Linked DNA regions of Struthio camelus. The protein of the gene in region 2 purifies or fractionates together with the protein of the main gene of each other region. This does not show direct contact. Links are inferred from orthologs where the notes say so. Each region holds a gene or a part of one and is shown on either strand. Other genes may lie near its edges.

Evidence for each region.
Region 1: the proteins of BTRC (region 2) and IFNAR1 purify together in Homo sapiens (affinity purification with western blotting; 4 studies listed by BioGRID and IntAct, counting the BioPlex papers as one, with this or other methods). This does not show direct contact. The link is inferred for Struthio camelus from reciprocal best matches to the Homo sapiens genes BTRC and IFNAR1.

What each region holds. Positions count from the first base shown.
Region 1 is NC_090942.1:120,311,004-120,314,751, forward strand, and holds the start of IFNAR1 (interferon alpha/beta receptor 1), read left to right. Parts: upstream 1-875; 5' UTR 876-996; coding exon of another isoform or gene 997-1,060; intron 1,061-1,476; exon of another isoform or gene 1,477-1,516; intron 1,517-3,748. UniProt on the Homo sapiens protein: Together with IFNAR2, forms the heterodimeric receptor for type I interferons (including interferons alpha, beta, epsilon, omega and kappa).
Region 2 is NC_090948.1:16,138,037-16,141,784, reverse strand, and holds the start of BTRC (F-box/WD repeat-containing protein 1A), read right to left. Parts: upstream 2,528-3,748; 5' UTR 2,402-2,527; coding exon 2,354-2,401; intron 1-2,353. UniProt on the Homo sapiens protein: Substrate recognition component of a SCF (SKP1-CUL1-F-box protein) E3 ubiquitin-protein ligase complex which mediates the ubiquitination and subsequent proteasomal degradation of target proteins. Recognizes and binds to phosphorylated target proteins.

The DNA of each region.
Region 1 (3,748 bases), on a different chromosome or scaffold from region 2:
TTATGCCACAAATAATGTCATATTCATAGCACCTAGGATGTGGAAAATACAGGCCTTTGCCTGCTGGAGTTTCAAATCCTCATCTCTGAATACACTGTTGTGCCCACTTAGGAGTAGGTTGTTTTCAGGGGGTAGGAAGTGAAAGGTAACCTCTCATTGCTCCTCCCATTGCAGCTGGATAACCTTATTGAAAAATATGAAACAGAAAAAGGGAAGGCGAGCTCTGTAGTCAAGAAACTAGGACTCCTACCTGCAAAAAGAGTAAGCTGGGGTCCAAACCCCACTGCAAGGGCAGCAGTATGCATGCTGCATTGAACACTCACTGTAGCCTTCATCATACACTCAAGGAGCAGGGCAGACTAGACCAGAACACAGATTTTCCCCTCTGCAGACAATCGCCCTAACTCCTGAAACTCTACAGATTTTGTTTCTCCCTCTGTGACTCAAAGTATCTTGTGATTTGTTGATTTTTTTGACTATCTATAAGGGGGCACATTGTCAGAAAGGCCCCTTTCCCTTAGGGTTGTGTGAATGGGTTCTCTCGGCTTTGGGAGGAGAGCAAGCTACCAGACAGCACCGGCAGGCCAAGGACAGGAAACATGAGCGCTGACAAGACGGCTGAGAAGAACGAATTTATGCCAAAGCCAAGTTCCTCCCCACCAGAAGACACCCAGCTCTCTGGGTTTTCTCTGGAGACGCACCACAGAGCGTCCAAACCCACTTGCTCTCCTCAGACGACATCTCCTACTGCCACTGCTGGAAGCAAAACATCTGACGGGCCGCTAGTCGCCCCCAGGCCGACGTTTCTCCCCGTCTTAACACGCCCTCATCACCCACCACCGCCGCCATTTCGCAGGCCGCAGCGGCGCGGAAGGCGGTCCGCGCATGCGCGGCGTGCCCGAGGCTTCCGGGAGCTGCGCGACCGCCCGCGGTAGCAGCTGCCGGATGGGCGGCGGGACGGTGGCGGCCGCCGCGGCTTAGGCGGGTCGCGGAGCCATGGCGGGGCTGCTCGCGGGGCTCCTCTCGTGCCTCCTGGTCGCGCTGGCCCCCCGCTGCGCAGGTGGGCCCGGGAGGGTAGGGCGCTGCGCCTTTGGCGGCGGGGCGCGCGGGGGCGGCTCGCGCCGCGTCCGTTAGCGTAGCGGGGTGGGGGGGGGGGGTCGGCGCGGCGCGGCGCGCGCCGCCGCTTCTGGCCGTTGGCGGCCGTTGGCGAAGCGGGGTCGCGTGCCCAGCCCTCTTGTCAGCCGTGTGGCCCCCGGCGGCGCCGGTAGCCGCGGGTCGTGCCTTGTGCCTGGGCTCTGTGCTGCTGTCCGCCCGCGCCCCGCCGCCGAGACCCGTAGCGGTGCTTGCCGTTCGCGGCTCGGCTCTCGGTTTCTTCAGGAGGCTTTGTGGTGAGACGTGGTCCTAGAAGCTGCTGGCAGCGTGGGCGCTGTGGTGTAGGCACAGCTCGGAGGGTATAAAAGCAGCCCGGATCTTGAATCTGGATTGGGTGTATCGTCTTGAGTGAGCAGGGCTCGGTGTAAGTTAGCCACCTAGCGTCTCGGTTTTTACCGTAGGTGATACATTTAGGTAGCTGTATTATCCAGTCTGCTTCAGGTTTACCTGCTGTATATGAAAAGTAGTGGCTGTAGTGTAAGTGTTTTGCAAACAGGTTCTTGAATCGTGCTAGTTTGCTTGAAAGGCATCTCTACTTAGCTTGGTAGAGCATAAAGTTTAAATAGGGAAATGAGAAAAGTAAGATTGCAGGAGGATTTTACCTTATGTGATAGCAACATAAGCCTCTTGTTATATCCTTAAGCATAGGGAAACCACATGTTGCTCAGAGCCTGCTTTCTTGAGAGGGAGATGTCAGGCATCTCCTGTAAGCTGTAAATTACCTTCCTGCATATTTATGATACATGACAGAATGCAGCAGAGAATATTTGGGCTAAGCTAGTTTGAATAACGGAGATGTTAGAGCTATGGGCTAGTGTGCGTATGCGCTTCTGATCCTAAGCTAGGCTGAGTTCTGGTAACTCTATAAGATTGCATTGTTTCAGTTTGGCATACCTAAAGGAAGGCTGGAGGCTGTTTTCTGGGGTCCACACTTCATGTTTGTGGTAGGATTCAAGCAGTTTGAGGACCTCTTGTGTTTCTTGCTTTCAGCTATTTGATATCTTCTGGTTTGTAAATGAACGCTTAGTGCATCACCCCAAAATTCCAGTCCCGAACTGGAAGTATTACGATACATGTGGCTACTTTGATTAACCCACACATTTATAGAAAATGAATAACGTGCCACATACCACAAGGGTTAGAAGAAACTGGCCGGCTGCAGTGACCTCTCACCTTCTGCCTTGCCAAAAAACAGCTGTTCCTTTCTGCTACTCCTGATTAAAAGTTCTTGCAGTAACCTTGGTTCTGTAGAGAACCTTTCCGTCCATGGAGCCAATAACAGTTTGATTGTCTCTGATATGGGTTTGGTTGTGGGTTTTGTTGTTCTTTTCAATGTGTTTTAGTATCACATATAATAGATCTCCTTTCCTTCCTATGCTAAAGGTTGAGTTAAAGTTTCCATTGGTTCCACCCACATAGTTAACGTGATGCTCTACTTTGCCCTCTTCTGAGGAGGTATATTTGTGTCTTGCTAAAACTAGTTTCTTCTGTTGTTAGATGACTTTTTGTTATGCTGCTGTGTTACGTAATCTTTGTTATTTTCAACCATCGCTTATTGAAAATACTCACTGGAATTAATTAATTGTCATTTATCCTTTGAGTATCACTAGCTTATAGCATTAGAACAGATTTTTATTTATTTGAGTTTATAAAAATATGACAAGGGAAGGAAGATAGGAAATCTTGCTAAAAGTTTTTTTTGTCTTTAATCTCTTCTTTCTTTGGCAGTCTAATCTCTTATAATATTATCCTCAGCACCAAAGTGTTGTGATGCTTTATATTAAGAAGTATGAATTGATCTTAAATGTGACTGCGTTTAATCAAGAGTAAAATAAGCCAGCAAGAAGTCTTGATTTTAGTGACTAACTTTAGTCTGGTTTACATTTGTTTATTTATGAAAAGTTTGATTCTAATTATCTAAATATCTAAATTATGGGGATTATCCGAATCTTGGCTATCCTTTCTGTTCCCCATAAGATCATGTTCCCCACATATCTATGTAAGCAGCTACAGTTATAATATGCATTTATGTTTTTAATACTTTACACCTGGGGAAAATGGTGATCCGTTCTGCATAGAAATATCATGATTTCTATCAGGCACTATTTGGAATGGAAACTAAAATTCAATTAAAATTCACAGGCAGATTATTCTTAATGAAGTTTTAGTTTTTTCAGGTAAAACTGGTACGAGTGTATAAGATACATATCTCTAATATTGATTTATTAAGCAATGGAAGAATTCCCTTTAATGGGAGAATTCGCCATCGACGACTGATTCATCAGGGTTTTAGAATGATGCGATCTTTTCATCTCCTCTTTCTAGTGGAGAAGAAGAAAACAAACTTTCCATCTTTTTTATTGGCTAATCTGTTTTTCAGCCTTTGACCGTTTCTTATACGGAACTGTTTGGATAAACTTAAATAAAACATACTGATATCAAAAGCGATTTTGTCACTACCGCAAGTTGTGGTCCCAGATGCTGAATCATTGTCAAACTGCTCAAGTTATTGAAAAACTTTTAGGTTTAAAGTCAGACTTGTCATGATTTTACATCTGAAAAAGATGGGAGGGAGTTGAGGAAAAATATAAATCAT
Region 2 (3,748 bases):
CCAAAAATTAGGCACAGTTATTTTTAAGTGGAAAAAGTAATATTTTTTTTCTAGAGAAGGACAAAAATACTACCACCTACAAGGCTGTTTTCAACATGAAATGAAATTCAGTCGAAATCTGTATCAGAAACAAAACCACCCAAAGCTGTGGAGGTAGCAGGTCCCATCCCTACAAGGGATATTTGAATATTTACTACGATGAAATATCTTGGCACTTGGGAAAGTCACTGAGAAAAATCAATACTCAATAGCATAGTCCCCTTCAACCCAAACTGTGACCCCTCTAATAAGAAAACAGTACATGAAGCGTTTCACACACTTGGATGAACAGGATAATACATTGCGAATGATTCAGCATCAGTTGAGAGGATGCATTAGCCAATCTAGGTAGGTAATTGTAGCAACGCTATTACTGCGGTACCTAAAGACTTTTTGAGTGTAAAAGACAGAAACAAGAGACTTTCTAGCACAGTCAAGCTGATATCTAAGTTAAATAAGACAATCTTACATATTGAAACAACCTACTTCTGCTACATCTCCATGAACTGCAAAGGGGGAAGACTGAAAGACCTCACAATGTCCAATAAAAGATTTACTTTGTCAACATAACTAAAGTGAGAGGCAGGTATTATATAAATGCATGTGAAAGAAAAAGCTTAAGATGCGTTACACAAAAGCCTTTCTCACTCTCCTGTCAACCTGCAAACAAAAATGCCTAAACAGTTGGGAGGCAACAGAGGGAGGCTACATGTTCTGTTGCACTTTTTAGATTTGTTTTGCATATGAGAGGTTTTTCTTTTTTTTTTAATAAAATATTGAAGAACTTAGTTTAGCTTTTAGTTCTCAGTGCAGCCCCACCCTTGATCATTCTTTCCTTTGTCTTGTGCTCTTAACAGATACAGCTCCTGTAGGCTGCACTCTCTCACACTCAGGCCTCTCCCTAGTGCCAGGGACTTTTATTGTTTGAGTGGAACACAGCCAGCTGCAAGATGGACAAGAATTCCCTCAGGTAGCCAGGCCCAATCTTATGGAGGATTTCAAGTACCTGGAATAAACTCTTAGATGGGAATCTTTGCACAAGGGGTGGGAAAAAAGCAGCGTATGAGATGTCAGGATAATGTGTTTACAATGTCCTTTGGTGCAAGACAGAAACTTTTCAAGAGAAACTTTTCCGGATATGAAACTCACTATCTATCCAGATGCAGACTGTAATTACTAAGCTTGACCAAATGCACGCACAGCAGGACCTGGCATACTCCAACAGCCAATCACGCAACAAAGAGGATAATTTGTTATTACTTGCTTCCGTGCCTACTTAGCTATCCACAAAGTTTTCCCACTTTGTTGAACTGAGACTCTAGAAATTTGACAAGCTTTAAGAAAACTAGCAAAAGGGTCAAAAAGTCTCAAGAGAAACAAGTTCTACAAGATTAAAAGCCGCAAGCCAAGCAAGTGTTCTGAAGAGCAGTTAAAAATTAAAATTTGCAACTAGCATTTCCTCAATTTCATTTTGAGCATACGTTCCGAAGATCTAATAGAACTGCTTCTTCTTGATGAACTTAAACTTAACTCTGTACCATGGAAAGCACTGATCCAAAACAAACTTTTAGCAAGTGTTGCCATTCATTTAAGTAACATCCTTAGGGAAAGAACAGTTTGGGGCTAAAGTTAATACTCAAGTTGGTTGGCAGCAGTTTGTTTCCATTTCCAAATCTTACTGTTTGTAGCCCAAAGTTTTGAAAATACCAATAAATGATAAAAAAGAATGAAATAATGTTTTAACTCAAGTGTATCATGCCTCAAACCTAGAGTGAGCTAGCCACGCTCAAAGAACATCTTGGATGCAAGCACCCCAAGGCTATTTTCTGTGTCAAAGACCCACTCGCAAACCTAGACAATATAAGTGCTCTTTACATTCATTATCAGGGATACACAGCGGGAGGAGGCGCAGGATTAAAGTGGCAATACATACAGCTCTGGGGGCAGAGAGGCAGGAAAAACAGAACAAGAACCGCAGCGGGCTGGTGCGCACTACAGAAAGGGAGGCTCAAGTACACAAATAAAAGCAGAAACCCAGCGGACACACGCAGCGCCCCCTCCCCCCTCCCAGCCCGGTTTGAACTTCTCCCGCTCCCAGGCGGCACCTGCGGCCCCCCGGTCTGCGCACCGCGCACCAGACCCCTTCCCCAGCCCCCCACATTTCACCCCCTCGGGACAGCCACCTCCCCCTGCTTCACCGCAACGCCAGCGAGGGCCCCCCCCGGCCTGGCTCCCCCTTCTCCTCCTCCACCTCACCCCGCGCCCCTCCCCCACCCCCGCAGGTGCCCCCGTTCCCACCGCCGCGGCCCCTCACCATGAACTTCAGGGCCTTCTCCTGCAGCACGGCCTCGGCCGGGTCCATAGTCCTGCGCCGCCGCCACCGCCGCCGGGCCCGGGGCCGGGGTCGCCCCTTCCCTCAGTGCCAGGCCGCAGCCAGCGCAGACAGGAACCTGCGCTTCCCCGCGTCCCCCCCGCTCCACCTCGCCCCGCTGCCCGCGCGGCGCATGCGCCGCCCGCAGGCCCACGGGAAATGGAGTCCCTGGCCGCTCTGCCAGTAAGGGCCTGAGGAAGACATGAAAACTACGAGGCCCAGAAGGCCTCGCGGCCAGGGGCACGCCGGGAGCCGGCCGGCGCATGCGCCGCTAGAGGGAGCGGGGGCTGATGGGAGTTGTAGTAGGAAGGGGCTGTGGCGGGCGTAACGGAGGGCAGAGCCGAGCAGGGCGCATGGCCGCTGCGGGGACGAGGGTGGCCCCTTCCCTGGGGGCGTCTGGGGCCTTCCAGCCCCAACCTTCCCCGATGAGGTCTCGGCCCGGCTCCCAAGTCAGAGCCCTGCTCGGTTACCAATTAGTGCCTTGGGTGCGGCTAATTGCCAGGGTGCCTGGCACCTGAGAGCGCGCATAGCTGCTTACCGGCAATTTATGGTGCCGATAAAAGTTTCGCTAATTGTTTTGTTTTGCTGCAGTTGCGCTCAATGCCTGAGTGCGATTGATTTCTAAGTCAATTATTGCTTGTTTTAGTACAGCCCCAAATACCATCTAAAATGAATCTTGTGCACTGGCATATATGTACGTATGGCAAATATGCATAGAGTTGGTACCAAAAACGTTTGGTGTCTTAGTATGGAGTGGAAGTTGGGTCGAGCGGGTTAAGTGTTGCTTCCTGGCAGGGGAACATGAAATTGGGAAACCTGCAACACTGGAATGGATCAAGTAGCCCTACACCATCCCTGAGAGATACTTGTTGAAAACTTGCTGCAAAGACAATTCCTCACATGAAAACAACCTGCCACTGCCCTTGCACTTAGATTTGTTTCTAATAACAAAGCTAGATCTATTTTCTCTGAAAATTACACCTACTTCTCCTTGCTGTATAAAGCAGCAAACAAGAAAAAAAACAATTGACAGGAGCCCTCTTATAACAACTGTGCATAGGCTGGAAGGTGTTTACCATACTGTCCCCCTTTTGTTTTACCTTTCTCTACAGCAAGCACAGCACTGACTCTTACTTAGGGTGTGATCCGGTAAAACACTCACATTCTTTCTATATTTGACTCTGCATCTTAAGTGAGGTGCCTTCAATTTCTTCCTATTTAGAAGCCACAAACCTCAGCATTTACTTGTCAACATGCAACCTAAACCCATTCTCTTTGTCACTGTTCAATCTACAAAGTAAAGCTTCATGTTGCAGGAATGATACCAGCATCTTCTGA